Notamacropus eugenii: one gene and its partner. The protein of the gene in region 2 purifies or fractionates together with the protein of the main gene of each other region. This does not show direct contact. Links are inferred from orthologs where the notes say so. Each region holds a gene or a part of one and is shown on either strand. Other genes may lie near its edges. The genes, in order: PRKCI and PARD3.

Evidence for each region.
Region 1: the proteins of PARD3 (region 2) and PRKCI purify together in Homo sapiens (affinity purification with western blotting; 5 studies listed by BioGRID and IntAct, with this or other methods). This does not show direct contact. The link is inferred for Notamacropus eugenii from reciprocal best matches to the Homo sapiens genes PARD3 and PRKCI.

Annotation. Positions count from the first base shown.
Region 1 is NC_092877.1:353,920,565-353,931,175, forward strand, and holds the start of PRKCI (protein kinase C iota type), read right to left. Parts: upstream 4,067-10,611; 5' UTR 4,034-4,066; coding exon 3,891-4,033; intron 1-3,890.
Region 2 is NC_092874.1:74,739,112-74,750,131, forward strand, and holds the start of PARD3 (partitioning defective 3 homolog), read right to left. Parts: upstream 4,207-11,020; 5' UTR 4,180-4,206; coding exon 3,964-4,179; intron 1-3,963. UniProt on the Homo sapiens protein: Adapter protein involved in asymmetrical cell division and cell polarization processes. Seems to play a central role in the formation of epithelial tight junctions. Targets the phosphatase PTEN to cell junctions.

The DNA of each region.
Region 1 (10,611 bases), on a different chromosome or scaffold from region 2:
ACAAGGAAAGAAAACAGAAAGCATTACTGTGCATGAACCAATCATTTCTTTTTCTGAAGTATAAAGGAGGGAGCTATTAAAATTATTCTTAGGTAATGATATGTATATATAGATGCTTTGGTTCTCATTGAAACTTGGGTCACAAAACCATCTAAATGCTGGAATGCATTTGCTGGGAACCAAGAGGTTAAGAAGGCCTCCTCACCCTGTCAGCATTAATCGTGTGTTCTGTCCCTCTAACGGGAGCTCCTTAAGTCTCAGGATCTAAAACATGCAAGGCCATTTTCTATAAACATTTTCCCAGAGTAACTGGAAAAGGCTTTGTTTACACATTTCTCTATCACTAGATCCTGGTTAGAGTATTCAGGGTTTAATGAGAACAAAAAGGCAGAGAGCACACAGCTGGTGAGTCACCTCAGCCAACGTGCCCCCAATAGTGGTTTTCACTTCCTTTGAGGCTCAGACCCTTTCAGGACTCCGGGGACCCTTTCAAGAAGCAGATACTTTTAACTGCAGAAAATAAAAGGCATCGGATTAACAGAGAAGAACAAAAACAATGAAGTACAGTTACCAGAATTTTTAAAATGTTAACAAATAAAAAAATGTCACAGACACTACCTATGTTAAGAACCCCCAATGTCTATTTGTGATTCCATCTTCAGCAATAGCATGTTTTTGCCTACCACTGATCTTCAACAGATCCCAATGTGCTTAGCCACATAGCTCCCTAAAATTACACAGTTCAATACAATTTTAGGCTTTCCCATTAAACCTCAAAATACTTCAAGAGACACATGCTTACATTCCATGTTCTTGACCTTAAAAGTACTCATTCATTCTTCAGCTACCTCTCTGAAAAAGAACTCCCTGAAAACAATAAACTGAGACGTGCTCCAACTTCTAAAGGAGGATTATTTACCAGCTCAACAATCCATCCCAAAAGCTATGCAAAAAAGATGCCAGAGTAAGGAGGGAAGAGGAGAGGGTAGGCTGTGGTCTTTCCCCATCCTGGTATCAAAGCAATAATTAGTTATCCCTTCCACATATGATCGAGGGTCAGCATAAGAAATCAAATGGGATATTTGGGGGAGTTTTGCAGAAGCCCCAGATGACGTACCAAAAGCCAGCAGACAAGACAGAAAAATTTAGAAACTAAGAAGCACATAAAATATATGTATAGTTTTGTATGATATCAAGACAAAAGAGAAGGAAATCCGCAAAGCCAAAATACTTCTTTTCTGGCACAAAAGGAGGACCAAAAGCTTTTAGGTGGATTTTCCAGATGGGGGAGGGGGGGCCTATGCCCCTAACCCCTGAGATGTGTAAGGGCTGCCTGAGCATTAGGGCTATTTGAAGTCCAGGCCTTAAAGACCCTTGTGGGTGAGTAAACCCCAGGGCCTCTTCTCCTTTCTCTCTTAGAGATCCAGCACACAGTAAGCATTTAATCAATGCTTGTTGGTTGACTTGATCGACCTCTTCAGCTCCCATGGTTGGGAGCCACCCACATCTGATCTCTCTCGAGCTCCAGAGCATCACTAATTAACTGTTATGGGACTTGCCCAATGGCAAGCATTCTCAAACTCACCACAACCTAATAGAACTCCTTATCTGTCCCCCAAAAAACCATCATTGTCTTCAGTTGAGGGCATCAGTCCCCTAAGTTCAAACTCACTGCTTCCCTCTCCCTCACCCCCACTAACCCATCAGCTGGCAAGTCAAGTGTCAGGCCTCCTTTCATAAGACCTTCTTCACTAACAGTCATACCTCAGCTTCAAGTCCCCTCATTTTCCAAATGGGATGATGACTGTAAGATGTTTTACAAATGTTCATCAGGACAATGGGCCTGTAGTCCCCCAGGTGGTCTACCTGCCTCCAGATTCTCCTCCACACAGAGGAGAAATGGACAGTCCTTAGACACAAGCCCAACCACCAGCTCCAGGGGCTGATGGGCTTGAGAGTTACTTCTGGTCAAACTAGCTTCTTTGTTGTTCCCCAGGACATTCAATCTCCCATTTCCCACCTTATTGGGGAAGGGGGGGGGGGGGGCCTCATGTGTGAAAATCATACCCTCTTGGGATGCCTATCAACTGGGGAATGGCTGAACAACCTGTGGTACTAGAGTGTAATGGAATACTACTATGCTGTAAGAAATGATGAGCAGGCAGATCTCAGAAAAACCTGGAAAGACTGACACAAACAGACGCTGAGTGAAGTGAGCAGAACCAGGAGAGCATTGTATACCTAACAGCCACACTGTGAAATAACTGTCTTTGATAGACTTAGCTCTGCTTAGCAATGCAAAGATCTAAGACAATTCCAAAAGACTCATGATAGAAAATGCCATCCACATGCAGAAGAAGAACTATGGAATCCGAATGCTGAGAGAAGCATTCTATTTTCTCTTTTTTCTTTCTTGTGGTTTTTCCCTTTTGTCCTGATTCTTCTTTCACAACATGACTAATGTCAAAATAAACTTACTGTGATCTGAAACGTATAGCCTACAATCAGATTGCTTGCCATCTTGGGGAAAGGGGAGAGAGAAAAAAATTTCAAAATCTTATAAAAGTGAACGCTGAGAACTCTCTTGACATTGGAAAAAATAAAGTACTATTACGTTGAAAAAAAATAAATCTTAATGTCAATAGTAGAAAGAAAAGAAAAACACCCTCCCCCATCCACCAACTTCCTTCAAGGTTCCATCTGAGTATCCTCAAGGGCAAGCTTCCATGACCCATGACCCATGACTCCTCTACTCCTGTGCCACCAATTACAGGAGGGAAGAGAATTCCAGGTGAGCAAAGTCCCTCCACCAATGAAGACTGGCACCTTCTCAAAACTTTTGAGCTCGGAGAATTGTCAGCACTCGCCCAGGATAAACCTGCCCTTCTGTATTTGAGGCAGGACTGAAACCCAGGCCAGCTCTTCATTGTCTTAAACTCCTCTCAACTTTAAAAAAAAAAACAACTTCAAAATCTGTACTTGGTCTTGAACTTCCTGTCTTCAAAGAAAGCTCCCACACCCAAGATAAATGTGTCCAATACAAACATCGTGCCAGTTGAGGAAAAGTGCAAGTTAAAGGGCCCCTTGTCTGGTTTAAGCAACTACAGGTCAAGAAGGCAGCAAGCCAAGGCAGAGAGATAGAGAGAGAGAGAGAGAGAGAGAGAGAGAGAGAGAGAGAGAGAGAGAGAGAGAGAGAGAGAGAGAGAGAGAGAGAGCGCGAGCTGGCCAGAGCCAGGGTCTAGTCCACACCTTCCACTCACAGGCTCTGTGTGCCAGACAATTCTAAGACATGAAGAGGCCCGTCCGGACTGGGGAGGGAATGTTCTCTGAGAGTTCCAGACACTGATGAAATCACAGGTCCAGGCCTATTCCCCATGCTTTCCAGAGTCAGTCTTGCTGGATTGCCTCAACATTCACAAAGCACCATGGCACAGGGGCAATTGGAGGCTGAGGCCTTGGGTGGGAATCCCCTCTCTGCTGCTTCCCAAGGCCAGTCATTTCAGTCAAGAAGCATTTATTAAACACCTACTGTGTGTCAGAGCTAAGCACTGGGGGTAGCAAGAAAGGCAAAAGACAGCCCCTGCCCTAGGAGCTCCCAGTCTAACGGGGGAAACAAAAAATATATACAAGATAAACTAGAAATCATCAGACAGATGAGCTGGAATTAAGGGGATTGGGAAAGGCTTCTACTAGAACAGCAGAACTGAGTTGGGACTTGACAGATGCCAGGAGTGGCTCAGTTTTCTCACCTGTGAAATGGACCTGCACTCAAGTTACCTCTTCAGGCTCCTTCCAGCTCAAAATCCTACATCATCATCCCAAAGGCAAGTGGTACCACCATGCAGGGTGGGAGGCAGACAGCTGGTTAGGAGTTCTGCTGGAATACCTACCTGACGGTCACCACCCATCCAGGCAGGAGGCACCCTGGGATGCACTTACTGATTCTGTACATGTCAGATGACAAGGTATAAGTCCTTGAAGGGCAGGGACATGGAGGAGCCCAGGGCCCGTTAAGTGCTGAATCCACGTTCATTGATTGGTGTGGCTCTGCTGAGAACCAGCCCTGTCAGCAGTAAGAGGAAGTCAGGTCTTACTTTGTTCCTCTAGTCTTGAACGAACCTTGGTCTGGCAGGGAGGTGTCAACACTCCCCATCTCTAAGGCTGCCTCGTAGAGAATGAAGCATGCTCTGAGGGCAGCAGGCTGGCCTCAGGGGGTCTGTGATTACAGGATCCCCACAGACCTCTGGGGATCACCAGCAGGCTCAGCGAGGCTCCTCCACAGCAGGAGGCACAGTGAGGGATGAGAGGCCCTGGGAGGCGAGGACATAGAGTAGGACACTGGAATGGCCACGGGAAGAGGCAGCAAAAAGCAGAGATGCCACTGGACAAACCAGCAGAAGCATGGGAGAGTTACCCAATACACATCTCTGATGGGGGGGCAGGGGGATGCTTTCATGATATCTTCATGTTCATACTGGATCTTCCTTCAGCAACACCCTGGGATTCTGAAGGCCACAGGTCACTTTTTTGAAAAGCCGTTTGGTGGGAAGGAGTCCATTTAATGACATTCTAGCTTTTGTTTCTAAGCCTTATAGGCCACTCTACCGTTAGTCCCACGTCTCTGCCCTGTGCGTTGTTTGTTTTTTCCCATCTACTCCTCGGCTGTCACTGGGCTTGTCTGTAGAGGACTCTCCCTCCCTTCTCGTAATTACCGGCTTGGAAAAGGGTTTGTAAATCCAATTCAATAAACATCTATTAAGCATTTCTCTTTTGTCGCAGCCCTGAGTTAGTTTCTGGAAAAGATACAAAGATTAGATAAGAATCCTGGGGGTTAAGTCCTCAGGAGGGTCTCGCTGAGGATGAGATACAACAGAAAATTGTGATGCTAAAAAATGAACAGGCTTTGGCAAGGGCCTTTCTTACTCACTCTGCAATGGCTACCTGGGCCTTTCTGTATTGGAGACACAGCCATCAATCCATAAATAGTTGTTAAGCCCCTGCTCATGTGCCAGGAACTGTGCTAAGTGCTGGATGTGTTCTTTTAACATCACAAACATTAAGAACCTATGGACAAGGCACTGTGGCAGGTCCTGGAGATACAAAATCAAATCCTTGGCCTCAAGGAGTGGACATTCTACCAGGAGGGAAAAGGGAGGGGAGCATGGACACTTTTTTTTTTAACCAGACTTGTGGCACCTTCTTTCTTGAGTCCATCACTTGGGTTGCTGGAGGGTTTAGCTTCTGGCCCTAGGTCATGCGGTCCAAAAATATATAAAAAGCAATATAGTGTAATTTCAAGAAATGGGAAGCAATGTCATGGACAAGCCAGGCACCGCTGTCGGAGCAGCTCACCCAAGGCAGAGAGAGTTCAGCCAAGTCAAGGAGACTGGGGGGGGTGGAGGAGGCTGTTAACCTGCATACAGATGGCTGAGATGCTCACGGAATAGACCTTGAAGCAGAGTAATAAAGGAAGAGAGGGAAGGCTAGATGCCCTTGGACTCCCAGTGCTTACAGTCAACTCTAGAGATAACCCCCTAAAACCTCAGTAAGTGAGAAGATCTCCCAGAGGGGTGACAGAGAAAAGAAGATGGCCCAAATGGGCCAGTGAGAGCCCAATCAGACACATGACCTCTGCCCATTAATGCCGTTACTAAAGTAGTCAGAAAACAAATGTACCAACAAAAAACAGTCTTGTCAAGACTTGCAAATATGAGAAAAATTCTACATATTTCCTTGCAAGGCCAATTTCAAACACAGCTATTCAACAATGTTTTCCTAATTGTACAATGCTGGTATAGGCAGGAAAATCTTTAAAATTATGACTGCTCAGTATAGAGTACTCTGAGAAATGTAATTTTGGAAAACATGTTTGTAAAACCCCCTGTATATTTTGTGATGCAATCTACCTGGTTCCCTCACTATTTTACTGGTAAGTCCTGCCCCACTAAAGCAAAGCTCACCATAAAAAAGCTTATATGATGTTAATCTCTCACTAACCAACAGAACTTTTTATTCTACTTCTGTAAACGAACAAAGTAATGACTAAGGAAATCCAAGGAAAAGCTCCCGTGTGTGTAAAAAAAAGACAAGGAAAAAGCCAATCTCCTATTTAAATACTAGAACAAGTAATCAAATTAAGTGTGTGGTTTAAGTTTCTTTATCTGGAGAAGGCACATTTTCATAAAGATCAAGTTTAAAGGAACTTGAAGGTCCTCTTCCTGGGGAAAAAGAGTGGTGAGTCATTTTTTTTTTTTTTTACAAAATGATCCCAGCTGCTACAAAGAAACACAGCTTGAGGGGTAGAGGGGGGCCTTGGGGTGCAACTGACCCACTGATCTCTCAGAATGAGGATATCAGTCATGCTTGGGGGAAATGTCTTCTGGTAAAGAGAATTCTTTAAAATATGAAAATCAAGTCAAAGGTGTCCTAGTTAGACAACCTGTTTAGTAACCTGCTCCTTCAGTGACTCATTGTCGTTTCAACAGTACAACCTCTGGCTGGGTATATTGCTAATAAAGATAGAGTCCTCATTAAGTCTGATTTCAGGACAGGAAGCAGAGAAATGACCAATTGAGAGAATGTTTAAGTACAGGAGTGACGCTTCAACCATGGCTCTCTATCACAGCTGAAGAAGGATCAAAGTGATTGTGGTCAGAAAGATTCCTGGCTCACCTTAGCAAAAGTCACCCTTTTTAAAGTGGAGGGGAAAGCTTACCTAAAAAACTGAAACCACAGGCCAACAGTAACACTTCCTATTGGTCATCACGCTTTGGAATTTACAAAGACATTCCTGAACAGATGAGCGTCTCCCTTCCTGACCTTGATGGTGAGAGAAACAAGGGATCTTAATTCCAACCTAGGTTGTTAAGCACAGTCACCTCTGTTTCTTTCAAAATAAACTAGAATTTAGTAAATCTGGTTATTAAATAAAAACATTTAAAATCAATGTCTCATTTCAGACAAACGTACACACAAAATGTTTTTCCCACAGTGCTCTGTGGGAGTCATGGCTGGCTGCAAAATCTCAAAATCCCATGAACTCCCCTAAGAATAAGAGCCCATTAAATAACACCCACACATTTAGCCAAGGCATGTAATGCTTTCTCTGTCTGTGTACATGTGAACTGTTCAATGTGATCTTAAGCTACTACGAGTCCTAAGATGAAGCTACAACTCCAAAGGTAAGAATTCACAAAACCACACAAACAAAAAGTCCAAACATTTCATTAAGAATCATTTGTGGGGACTCGATTTTGTTGGAATACAGAGGAGGGAGGTGGCAGGCAACTAGGACCTCCCTCTTACAGGTTCCCCATTCACAATCCTCACTGATCCATTCCGGAATGTACACACTGTACAGTCAACCTTTTTTTTTTTTAAGCCACTGACTTCTGCCTGGATAAATAAGCAACAAGCACACTGGTAAAGGTGTTTGTTTGGAAAACCCCCAAGCTGGTCTCAGCAGTGAACAGCAGCCACAAGGGCAGGCACCTCACAAAACAACGACCAAGTGAAAGCTGTTCAACTGAACTGGAAGTCTTCAATTTGGGGGAGAAGAAAAGTTCCTAAAGTTACAACATTCTTTAATCAAGTATCACGGCTGAACTCTTTTCCCCTAGGGGAGATGGGCCAACATTAGCTAAGGTGATGAGATAAGAAAAGCCCCACGGAATTACCTTCAGTGCCAGGAGGTGTGGGATGGTTTTCTTCTCACCTGGCAGGGCTCTCATCCTAAAACCAAGTTCTTGGAAAGCCAGCAACACCAGGGAGGGGCTCCCCAAATAACCATTCTCAACAAATCCCTCCTAAATCTGGGGAGATCGCATCATTCACTCAACCATTCAGAAATCCCTGGCAGCCCCAAACAGGTAATGAACTTATTATGGCCGTCCTCAGGTAAAGTCCACGTGCGTAACTTGGTGGCTTTTCCTTTTGTTGGGTATGACTTCAGGCATGCCCACTTCAGCTTACCACAGTCTAAATTGGTCCTGCAGCCTAGACCCAAGGGAAAGCAAGCCAGACTCAAAGTCTTCATTTGAAACTCCTGCCACATGCCAGCCCAAAGCAAGGCCTATTCCTGCCCATGCAGTAGGGGAACCCCACCCAGGCCCCCTTGAGAGACTCAGCACCCCCTGAGCCAGCCCACCCCAGCCACCTTGACAAGCAGGCCATGGCCAGTCCAGCCAACGGGCACTCTGATGCTGAGGACAGAAGAGCGAGCTGACCTTCAAGGGCCTTACAGCCTACAGCAGACCCAGCCATGAGGCGCTCCTTGAGGGTCCAGGTGGAGAGCAGAGAAGGCCAAGATCCTCCAGACACCCCCAAGCCCATCTCCTGTACTGCCAGGCACAGGGGATCAAGAGTGATAAAAAAAGGAAGCCCTCAGCACCTCACATGGTAACATTCCAGGTCTCTGCCCACACTTACGATCCCCACACCGGGTGCTGGGGAATCGGGCACCCTAAATCCAAAGCTGAGAACCAAGGCAGAGTGCACCCCTTTCATTTTACAGATGAGGAAACTGAGGCCCAGAGGTCACAGCGCTCCTTCTCACATACCAGTAATGAAACAAAGGCTCTGGATGAGGAGGGGATGGTCAGGGCATAAGGCCAGGGGCTTTCCTCTAATAACGCCCCTCCTGGAAGTCCCGCCCACGCCGGCCAGCCCCCCGACGCCCCCTCCATTCCAGGGGTCCTCGATCGTTCTTTCCCATGGATGGGTCCCCGCTTGTTTGTACACAGCGCCCTGCACGTGGGCTCCCCCAGCAGGGGGTAAGCTCCTGGAGGGCAGGGGTGGCACACAGCAGGTGGTTAATAAATGCTTATCCGTGCGCGGCCCGTCTGGGGAGGAAGGAGAACATTTGGAACTTGTGGAAGTGAGGGTGGAAAAGTGAAAAGTAATAAAATAATTTCAATGAGAAAAAAACAAGTTTACGGATCCAAATGATCCAAACTTCTGGGGGACCAGGGCAAAGCCGGCCCGGCCCTGGGGGCTTCATCTCGAGCAGCCTCCTTATGTGGGGGCCTCCGTCAGGCGGGACGCCCCCTGGCACTGCGGGCTCCGGGGGGCCCGAGGACGCCCCCTCGCCACGGGGGGGGGGCCCGAGGACGCCCCCTGGCACTGCGGGATCCGGGGGGCCCGAGGACGCCCCCTCGCCACGGGGGGCTCCGGGGGGCCCGAGGACGCCCCCTCGCCACGGGGGGGGCCCGAGGACGCCCCCTGGCACTGCGGGATCCGGGGGGCCCGAGGACGCCCCCTGGCACCGCGGGATCCGGGGGGCCCGAGGACGCCCCCTCGCCACGGGGGGCTCCGGGGGGCCCGAGGACGCCCCCTGGCACTGCGGGCTCCGGGGGGCCCGAGGACGCCCCCTCGCCACGGGGGGGGCCCGAGGACGCCGCAGCCCCTCCCCCCGGGGGCTCCGTGGCGATGCCGGCTCGGCCGCGCTCACTCACCCTTTGTAGTAGGCTTTCACCCGGACCTGGTGCGCGTGGTCCCCGCCGCCGCCGCCGCCGCCGCCCCCTCCCCCGCCGCCGCCCGGGCCCGGGTGGGACATGGTGCTGCTGTCCCGCTGCGTGGGCATCTCCCTGCCGCCCCGCGCCGGTGCGGCCGCGCCGCGGGGAGCCTGGCCGAGAGCCGCCGCCGCTGCCCAGCCGCCGCTACCGAGGCCGCCACCGCCGCCGGCCTCCTCCGCCCTGGCCCCGGCGCCTCGGCGCCTCCCTCCGGCCCGCCCACCGCGCTCCCTCCAAGCGTCCACATTCCCGGGTGGGGCGGGGCGGGGAGGGGCCGTCCGAGCCACCATTCCGGCCCCCGCCGGGAAGGGCCGCCTCTGGGCTGAACCACTCTCGCAGGGAGGGGGGACCCACTCAGGAGCCGTACCTCCCGGCCCATCGGGAGAGGCCACCTCGTAGCAGCCCCAAACTGGAGAGATTCTAAACCCCTCTATCCACATCCTGTCACACATCCTTCCTCCGAAATCGCGAGGAAGAGGTGGCGGCAGAGCCCAGAGGTAGTAAGTTACCCCCTCTTGGCCGGATAGTTCCGTCCAGCTCATCCTTGGAGGAGGGGGGGGCGGGGGCCGAGAGCGGCCGGAGTCAGAAGGAATCAAAGCGCCCGCCAGGGTTGGAGTTTCCGAACGGGATTCTGGGACTTGGAGTTCTCTGGTTAAGGGAATTCTGGGAATTGAGGTTTTCCCGGTATCCTACCCGCAGCCCCCCGGGAACGTGCTTTCTTCTCGCTGGCTCGCTGGGGAATGAAGGATCTGGGGCGGAGGGGCGGGTTGGATACCGCTCCAGACCTCGTCCCTCCCTCATGCCCGAGGCAGCCCCAGCCCCACGCAGCCCCTCCCTCGAGTCTGGGCTGGAGAATTTGCTGAATGCTAGGATTCTGGGCTGCGGTTCATTCCTCATTCCTCGGCGGCTGGAGGGGAGTGTCCTTTATCCCCCTCCCTAGAGGGGGGGGCAGAAGGATGTCACCTGGGTGACCTTGACCAACTCACTCACCCGCCCAGAGCCTCAGTGTCCCCCTTTGTAAATATGACCTCCAAGATAGGTAGATAGATAAATAGATTACATGGGTAGAGATAGATAGATTACATGGAGAGATAGACAGGTA
Region 2 (11,020 bases):
AGAGACACTATCACCTCCCTCATTCTGGACATAGAGTCTGGCACACAGTAAAAGCTTAATAAATGCTGGTTGACTTCTCTGGACACTAATCTTCAATTAACACAAGTAGCTTTAAATTAATTTATTTGGTTGCTACATCACACTGCTCAAGTCTTGTATAAAGACTGCTATTAAGATGCTCCACCTAACTTGAAACTTCACAATGGCTGTTTCGAAATTGAGTAGGACACTGCATTTATCCCCATTAAAATGTACCTTTCTATATTCCACCCTTCATGCAAGGATATCTAGAGATCCCAATTCTGCCACCTAATATAAGTTTACCACATCAGCTCTATCAGTCTGATAAACCTGACTTTTGTGCAAACATTTATCCACACCACTAACTCAATTCAATTCCACAAACATTTAAGTGCCTGTGTCATGGAAGAAATAGTTCTCTCTCAAAGATCTTAAAATCCAATAAAAATAAGGCCTGTTCACTAGACAAAATGTAGTGAGTACAATGGTGAGGTAAAGACTAAGTGAAATAAGAAGTAGAAGAGATAAATCATGTTCAGAAAGGTGATTATGAAAGCCTTCACGGAGTTTGAAACAGTGACACCTAATCTGGACTGTGGGGCAGCTAGTTGGTGCAATGGATAAAGCACCAGGTCTGGGGTCAGGAAGACTCATCTTCCTGAGTTCAAATCTGGTCTCAAATACTTAGTAGGTGGTGACCTTAGGCAACTCACTTAATGTTGTTTGCCTTGGATTCCTCAGATTCCATCTGTAAAATGAGTTGAAAAAGGAAATGTCAAACCATGCCAGTATCTCTGCCAAGACAACCCCAAATGTGGTCATGAAGAGTAAGACATAGCTGAAAAACAACTAAACCTTAAAGACTGGACCTTAAAGACAAGGATTGAGCTCAATGATAATTATTAGTAGCAATAATCATAATAATTTCATTAAGTATAAGGTTTTAAAATAGGCAAAATGCTTAACAACCCTGTGAATTTAGATTAAATAATACCAAATGCCTTTTGCTTTTAAATTTACAAGATACTTTATAGAAGTGGACTATTCACATGCCAAAAATGCTGTATGATAATTATTTGAGCTAATATTACCTGCATTTTACAGATAAGGAAACTTAAGCTCATAAAAGGTTGTGTGACTTGTCCATTGGTGTCAACATCCAAATCACTTTCTTCAAGACTAGGACACTTTCTACCATATCATAACAAACTCTTTCAAAATAGGGGAGATAGGGAAATAGTGGATTCCAGTACCAGGATACTACGGGAAGAGATCAGGCGCCATATTGCAGCTTAGTTAAGATGTAGAGTGTGAAGGGGAAGAGAATGAAATGACTGGATAGGTAGATTGGAGGTGAATTATTGGGGGCCTTGAATGTCAGTCCAAGTGGTTAGAATCTTACCCAGATATAAACCCTTATTTTTAACAAGGAAATTTCAAGGCTAGACCTTGTGTATTGGAAAGATGCACATGGAAGTGAAGGATGGACATTAGGAGACTAAGTATGAAACTGAAACTGCAACCCAGAGAAGAACTAAGATGGATTGGAACAATGATGATAGTAGTGGGAGGAAAAGATGCGACAGATGCAAGAGATATTATCTGATTTTTAAAAAGTTTAAAAACAACCTGTTTTACCGATAGGAGACAGGAAAAAGATGGGCAAGTATGCCATAAAATTTACACATGATATGATGTATACCCACAAAGCACTGCCACATAATCCATCCAAAACCAATTTTTTAAAAAAATGCATTTACTCTCTAGATGTAGAGACACCTTTGAGTATGAACTTCTCTATCCCACAAGAACATGAAATTAGTCTTGATCTCTACCAACCCACTTAGGATTATAGTAAAAAGAGCGGTCTCAGAAGCCGTCCAGTTCAACCGTCCTCACTTCCAAATGAAACTGTGCCCCAAAGAAATTAAGTAACTTGACCACAGTCATCAATGCCAAAGATGGGATTTGAATCAAGGTCTTCTAACTCCAGATCCAGAACTTTTTCCATTGTACTGCTCTGTCTCTCCTCCACAGTAGCAATGGCTAAAGAACCCATAGAAAAGGAATAATAGTCCATTGGAGTCCAAAATAAAAGCTGTAGTCAACTAGGAAAATAAAGGAAAATAGCAGATAAATGTCCACCTAATTTTTTTAATTAACTTGAGGAAGTACAAATAACATTTAATTTTCAATTATTCTAGGCAAAGGTCTTAAAAAGAAATATAAACTCAAGTGGAATATTTTGTATAGTATCCACTATGCAATTCTTCTGAGCTCTGCTCAGTTATGGGAATAAGGAGAGCACCCAGAATAAGTTGGTGCTGAGCACCTCTTATGGGACCCACTTGAAGTCTGTGGAGGAAAGGAAGGTGACAGCTGCTTGATCACATATAACTGAAGTTCCTCACAGGAAACTAAACTGAGAGGGCAGAAACAGAAAGCAGTACCCAGATTAGGAGGAGAGGTCAATACCAAAATCAAACAGAATTCAAGAGTAAGAAAGGAGAAAATGAATGAGAGATCAGGGCAGGAATGCCACACCTGGTCTATGTAGCTCTCGGATTTCAAACAATGGTACAGGACCACTCACAGCATGGCATGCCCACATCAGAAAGGGTGGTGTGCTGTATGAGCAAATCAGAATTGAGATAGCACAAAGTAAACATAGGATGCGCAAATTTGGAGTGTTCCAAATATTCACACGGACTGTCTGTGCCCAACCTGTGGTAGAGCATTTCAAGCTCATCATGTTGGTCTGACCAGCCACAGTCAGACACACTGAAACTTCACTTTATCATGGTGATGTCATTTTGGTCCTCTTCAGAAACAAAGAAGAACAACATCCAACAAACCAACCAACCAGAACTCAGTTCCACACAGATTTAGGTAAAGAGGTGACTGAGTGGGGCTGGCAGGTTTAGAGTCTAGGGGTTTATGCACTGCCCTAGGTGACTCTTTCAGCCTTACATGTTCCCCTAAATTAGTTGAGCTGTATACTTTTCATTGCTATCAGCAACGTTACCCTCTTTGGGAAAATGACCACATCTGTGTGGTAGAGGAAACCTACTATGTGTCAGCATTGTGCTGGGTCCTATAAAAATAGAAAAATTAACATAAGCCATGATCTCTTCCAATGAAGAGTTAAAAATCTCATCAGATACCAATTATTCTGTTACTAGGGTTTTGTGCCCAGGAACATCATGGTGAAAGTGTTATAAGGTGTGTTTTTTCAAACAATAAAAGTTTAATGTTTCATCTAACATTTATAAAAGAAATAACCCTAGTTAACCAATTCCCTAAGGTTATTCACAACCTAACCTAGGCACATAGTCAAAAGAAAATATACTTTTGCATATTTACTTTTTAACTAATATACAACAGAATCTGACTTAAGCATCTAGAGGAATTTTTTGGCATAGAAAGCAAACCCCTCAATGATACATGATAAACAGCTCTGTATGAAAGTTAAAAAATTCCAACAAGCATCTCATTCCCCAGCATTTCCTATTCAAAAAGGCCTTCTCTTTCTTAGATATGCTGATGACTCATCTCTCGCACGTGGATACTCCAAACTAAAAAACGTCAGAAACAATCCTAATGGGTTTTCATAGATGAGGACAAAGCAGGAGATAAGCCTTGCAGTCGTGAAGACCAGACTTCAAGTGCTCTCTCTGCCTTTTGCCAACCATTGTTACCATTAGCAAGTTAAAGACCCTAAACTATATGTTTATGCATTAGTGCAGGGAGTTACCTGTACCAATGAAATGGCAACGGTGGTGCGAAATTCTGTGTGTGTGTGTGTGTGTGTGTGTGTGTGTGTGTGTGAGAGAGAGAGAGAGAGACAGACAGACAGACAGACAGACAGACAGACAGACTAGTGAATAATGAGAACGTCAGAATCCAATTTGAAAAATAACAAAATGTTAGACTTCTGCCTACCTCAGAGGTCCTTTGGGAAATGGTGGGAAGGAAGCTATCCAGCTGCACATGATGGACCCTATATTCACATCCATAACATCCAGCAGTCCCAGATGGCTTGGTTAGTGTTCCACAACAACATAACATCATAAAGCTGAGATCTAGCCAAGAGTCAGAATGGTTTCCATTGATACGGACTGTAAAGTCAGAGTTACTTGAGAGGATGGAAGGGACCATCCCTGACTCCCCCTCAAAGCCTGCTGATGTCAGAGGCGGAGCTACCTTCTCCTTCCTAAGGTGTTCCTGTCATCATCAAGGGAGGATTCTGTGATTGTATCTTCAAAAGATTTGCCAAGAGCTAAGAGCAGCTCAGGTAAGAGCAGAATTCATTTAAACAGGACTATGGCAAAATAGCAGAATTCCACCAGCGGAAGAAAGGCCAAAACTATTGTACTCTGTGACGTACTTCTGAGACATACAAAGTGGAGGGTGGAGAGGAATGTGTGAAATGCCCTCCTCCTTTCCCCCATGTTCCAAGGCTCAGCTAAAATCTTCTATCAATCTCAAAGCCTTCCTTAATCACTTCAACCAACAGTGACTTCCCTGCTGAATTCCTTTAATATTTCTTGTCTGCACTACTTGTATTCATAATTTATAACCCTTTGTGGTTGTTAAGTTTTACTTTCATCACAGCCAATTAAATTGCAATATCCTTGACTGCATGGACTACATCCTACCCCCAAACACACACACTGGACATGGGATCCTGGAGGGAACAATAGGGAGAACAAGTCATTTGACCCAAAATACAGAAATAGTAAGAAGCAAGCACTACCAGGATATGAACCAAAAATGAGACCAAGTCCCTAACTCCGCAACCAGATCTCTTCCACTGACACTGATAAACATGTTGGTTGTATGACTTGGTTTCACCTAAAGCCAGCTAAATTGACATTTGGATTACAAATATCTGTCTTCTAATCTGTCTTAATACTATGTTTCTAAATGGCCCTAAAAGAATCTCATCAATTTTAAATGGTCTGACAATGGATAAAAGGACCACAGATCTAGAGCTTGAATGGACCTCCAAGGCTCTCTAGTCTAAACCCCTCATTTTACAGATGAGAAAACTGAGGCTCAGAAAAATTAAGTGACTCGACCAAGGTCACAGAAATAGTAAGCAACAGCCAGCATTTGAACCAAGGTCCTCTACCACCAAAACCACTTCTTTCTAGTCCTACAAAATGCCTGGTTATCTATGTCTTCATGGTTTTCCATGTCATCAGCTAAGTTATTTGTTGAGATATTTCAGTATCAGACCCCCTCAGAATAACTCATTGTTTTTGCTACACAACAATTTTGATTCCACCAAAATAATATCAATCCTGTTAATACAAAACCATGTTAACATTTTAATAGTTTTAAAAAGTTACCCCAATAAAAAACAGCATGTATGCTAAGTGAAACTGATGCCAAGAGAATTCAGTCAAAGCATCATTACACAATCTTTAATTAACATGTGGAACAGAATATATCAAGCAGCAATAAAATGTTAATGGGAAATTTAAAAGGGAGAGGAAGGAAAATAAGGCAAAACACACTGAGGAATAAATAGTTTCAAAGACAGGCAAAACCTGATAGGCTCTTTTAAAGGGTCAAACCTATTTCTGGGCCTGGAAAATGTGGGAATTTGCTTTGGAAATCATTTAACCTCATCTGTAAAATGGGGATAATAATAGCTCCGACCTCACAGGGTTGTTGTGAAGATCAAATGAGATAATAATTGTACAGTGTTTTGCACAGTGCCTGGCGCATAGAAGGTGATTTTTTTTTTAATCTTTTGATTGACTAAGTATATTTGCTTCAAGAGTTTTGCCAGGTTTTCCCCCCAGGAGACTGGAAGCAGAAGGGAGAGAAGTGCTTGTTAATTGAAAAATAAGTTTCAATTAAAAAATAAAATTAAAAGTAGGTAAGATTTTCAATGCTGTTTATAAAAAAATGTGCTATCATTACATTATCTAATTTTGCAATGACTGAAAATCTCCAAGAAGTTCACCCTATCTCTGAGGATTTGTACCTTCAGCAAAAGGAACAAACACTTTTCCTATCAGCGTATAATCAGAACAAACCACTGCCAGAGCAAAATAGAAAACCAAACCAGAAAGCCAGAGTAGTCCTGGACACCTGGGACGCTGGTTTTTCTCACATTTTCACAGTAGTATATTTCAAAGTGCTATTCAATACTGTATCCTGGTATCCTTTATGTCTACTGACATCACTCATTTTGCTTAAATATTCCTGAATATGAGGGCCACCCTCTACCTGGAAATTGGCAGAAGTACAGGCCACTCCTCAAACATTTTGAAGAACAATGTGCAGACAACAGAAAAGTGCTAAGTTATTCATTGAGGGGCAGTTTGGTGTAATGGAAAGAGAAGTACAATTTGAATATGATCATAAATTTACAAGTAATCTAGTCTAATACTTTCCTTTTCTAGCTGCAGAAAAAGAGAACCAAAGAGAACCCAAAGAACTAAATTCAAACCCTGAGTGCCATTTATTGCCTGTTTGATTTGTGACCTCTCTTGGTCTCAGTTTGCACATCCTATAAAGCACAGTCCCTGACCTCATGGAATTTTTCATCTAATTACTGAGAAAGAAATTTAACAGTAAAAAATAGTACACAATGAGCACTAAATAAATGATACTGAATATAGACACTGTAAGAGTTTAAGGACAGAGAGAAACTACTATAGGCTAAAGTCAGGGAAGAGTTAGTTGAAGAGATTTGGTGGATATAATCCCTTGAGGATTGATGGGATATGTATGGGGAAAAAAGGAACTTTAGAGGGGAATCTTGTGGCAAAGAAACTGATTCCCAAAGATAGTTGTTGTTTGGTGAATAGTAAGGAATAACATGATACTTGTATATGTTTTGATAATAACAATAATATCTGCCATTTCTCTAGCACTATAAGCTCTGCAAAGAGTTTGAAGACGTAGTTCAATTGTCTATAGAGAACCAGAGTTCCAGTCATGGAAACATGGTGGTTCCAAGTCCCTACTTCTGCTACATTCTGTCACTTAATCTTTCAGTGCTCACATACCTCTCCCACACTATTATCTTACAGAGGTCTGAATCTGCATTAGAAGAGTGAGGTCCGTCACTGAGTTTCCAACACCAATGGAATCACAGGTCTAGTCCCTCCACTTTCAAAAAATGAATTTTACATGCAGTGTCTCATTTGATTCTCAGAGCAATCCAGTGAGGAGAGGATTACAAATATTGTTTCTATCTTACAGGTAAGGAAGTCAGTGGTCAAAGAGATGAGATGATTTGCCCAGCGTCATACAGCCAGTAAATGTCAGAGCAGGATTCAAACCTGGATGTCTCTTGACTTCATGTTCAGAACTCTTTCCACTGGAGAATATGCTTTCTGCTAACTGAACCAGATTTGGGGATGGATTGAAGCTCTAACCCAGTGCCTTTGGCCATCCAAAGCACACATTAGGCTTACAGCAACAGTCTCTGGCTAGTCTATGGTAACTGGATCAGATTTCTTCTGGGAAAATTACCTTCTTTCTACAATGCTTTAACCAGCTGTCCTAAGCAGGCCAACAATATGCCACAGAAACATGGATCCAAATTTGTGATGTGGAAAAGTAAAGAAAATTTCAAACAACAATGTTAACTGAGAAGAAAATCTGCCATTAAAAACTTGAAAAAAAAACCCTCCAGAAGTACTTGAGGGTTTTATTTTCAAAGAAATAATCCAATAAAATAAGAAGTTCTATCTCTAAGAAACAAAAGAACCCTTCCCAAGGTCTGGTTGTTTGCCCCATATATCAATGTCTGGTCTCCAGAAGTTCTTCCTGTTTATGGAAGCCTTGATACATACAGTAAATTAACAAGACTAGACAAGGAAAACACAAAACTTGTCTGACAACTGAGGTCACAAATCTGCTCAGGTAAGTAAGACAGCAATCTATTTAAATCTGCCCCGTATTACACAGGAATCCTGTTTCCTACATGGCCCTCACATTATGCAGTTTCTTCCTGGTCATTCTTTCCTTTTCAGGCCCTACATACATTCTAAATTAGCAGATTCTGGGCAATCCTCAAGAACAGGTCCTTGTCCATCCCCATCACAGCTGGGTAATAATGCTAATGAATTTTAATTAGTACTGATATTATGAATAAATACATACACAAAGCATAAGTTCTGAGATCTTTCCTGACTGAGAATCCCTAATGTAAACCTATTAATTAAGCTGGATTGATGTAGTTTCTATGAGAATATTCTTGTGATGTAAGCACTTGAGTTTTATGCCCACATAGACCTGAACCATGAACTTCTAGGATTCTTGCAAAACATGTCCTGCTGGATCCAAGTACAACTTAAATGGCATCAAAACAAGTTGCGCTTAGGAAATCTGTTACACTAATTTTCAATAGATACACAATAGTATACAAATAGTGTACAATTTTCAGTAGTATAAATAATGAACATGAAATTAAAAAAATCCAATATGGATAACTGAGAATGTATTTTAAACACTACTAGGGGCTACATTATCATGTGTTCAAATTTTTTTTTCTCCAAAAGTTGTTTAAAAGACTTAAACTATGTTGCCATTTTTCACCACCAGAACCCTTTGAAATATTCACAAATTACCAATTAAACTCCAGTCTACTGAGCAATTGATACAGAGTAATTTGTCTTCATCCAAGAATGATGATTATAATTCAGAGAAACATCATAGTATCATGGCCTGAAATAAAACACTCATAGTGAGACTGGAGAATTGGGGAAGTCCTAGTAATTTTTCACTTAGTCAAGACCAGAAAGGAAACAAAATCATTACAAGAACGACAATTACTTAATTCTATATCTACAATAAAAATTCTGAGCATTCAGTCACACCCCACATAAAGAAGGAGGGGCAGAAAAAGTTCTGGTATCTGTGAAACTTGCACAACATCAGAAACCCAAACAAATATCATTGGCTTTCATCTTGTATACGGATGTTTCAATGAAGAACCTTTCAAACGCAGCATGTAATAAATGCATCCTAAGTCCTAGTGTATTGGGAGGTGAAAGTACTCAATAACTACACAACACAGGTGATGGGGCTAACTGGCCCTGTTTCTCTGGACTCATTTCAGGTGAATATATATTATATATATATGAGAGAGAGAGAGAGAGAGAGAGAGAGAGAGAGAGAGAGAGAGAGAGAGAGAGAGAGGAAGAGAGAGGGAGGAGGAGGGGGAAAGGGGAGGAGAGGGGGAGGGGGAAGAAGGGGGGAGGGGGAGGGAGGGAGAGAGAAAGAGAGAGAGAGAGAACCTAGTAGTAACATCCACATCTGGGAGTAGGCTAGGTGTAGCAGAAAGGATGAAGACTGTGTACAGGAGAAGTCTTAAGAAGCCAAATCTCATGATGTCAAGGCCCTAGGAAGAGTTCTTTATAAAAATGGCCTTAAATGTTCATCTACACACTCGGGGGGGGGGGGGGGGGGGGGGGGGGGAGGGGCGGGGAGGAGGGAGGGGAGAGGGGTTTACAGAGAGAAGTGAGAGAAAAGTGAGAGAAAAAAAATATTAGATGACAAGCCTCTGAAGAATCGGACATTGAGTCTTAAGAGAAAGTAGGTATGAGAAATCATGGCAGCTGTACTGGAGATTACAGGTAGTGAGATATGAACCACTCTGTAGTAACAGCATCCATGCTTTGTTTGAACAATTACATGCATATATCACACCATGTGAGGGAATTTTTCTCCCTTGTTCCAATTTTATTTCTTCCTTGTGGAGAATTCCCAGCTCAGAAATGTCTACCTCTGATGCAGATCAGCTCTCTCTTTACAGAGTTGCCTGGGACACTCCAAGGTGAAGGGACCTGCCCACGGCCATGCAGTCCTCATAGTTACACAATGAGCATGGTCACCAGGTCTTCCTGATTCCAACACCATGAGCTATTCCATGCTGCTCCACAAAGAACTATTAAAAAGTGGCAAACCCAAACACTACTGGTGGCATATTATATTAAAACGGGTTGTTTTATAAAATTTCTCTTGTTTGATCCTCTCCATAATCCTATGAGGGAGGACACAGAGAAAGGGCTAGAGAGCTTCCCTGAAGTCAGGAAGGACTAGCTTTAGGATCTACAAGTGATTAGCAAAGCACCCCAGTAATTAGATGGTTCCTGGCTAATGGTAGGTGTTTTTAAAAATGTTAATTGATTGACTCCCTCTGAAACAAATGGTCTGGGTGATTGGGAAAATCATTTCCTTTCTCAGTGCCTCAAAGAAACTTGGTAAAACCAAAAACTTCAACTCAAGGGCTAGTCTGCAATAGGAGATGGAATTTCTTCACCAGGTAGTTCCCTATACCAGTGCAGGCCCCATCCTTAACAATCCTATCACACAAATGCAGTTGTTAGCCCCACTGTATAAATGAGGAAACTAAGGCTGAGAGGGGTTAGGTTAACTTGCTCAGGATCACATGGCTAGTAAACATTCAAGGCAAGTTTCAAATTAGTGAAATCTGCACCAAAATAGAGACAGAGTACAATTTTCTTAAAGTTAACTTTCTTTCTTACTAGATATAGCTAGGCGGTATAGTGAATAAAGTACCAGAGCTATAGTTAAGAAGACTCAACTTCATGACTTCAAATGTAACCTCAGACATTTACTAGCTGTGTGACCCCAGTCAAGTCACTTATCTCTACTTGCCTCAGTTTCCTCAGCTGTAAAAATGAGCTAGAGAAGAAAATGGCAAACCACTCCGGTATCTTTGCCAAGGAAATGCCAGAGGGGGTGACAACAGAAATGACTGAACAACAACAACTATTTCACTAGCATAGGAAATTCCTCGTGAGGAAACTCCTACCAATATAGAATGACATTCACTTTGCAACTTAGATTTCCCTGCACCACTGAAAGGAGAAGTGACTTCCCACAGGTCACAGTCGGATGTATCAGAGATGGGACTTGGACCCAGATCTTTAGGACGCAGGGGCCAGCTATCTATTGATTAGGCTATGGTGCTCATCTAAATTCATTATTTCATTTTAAATTACTT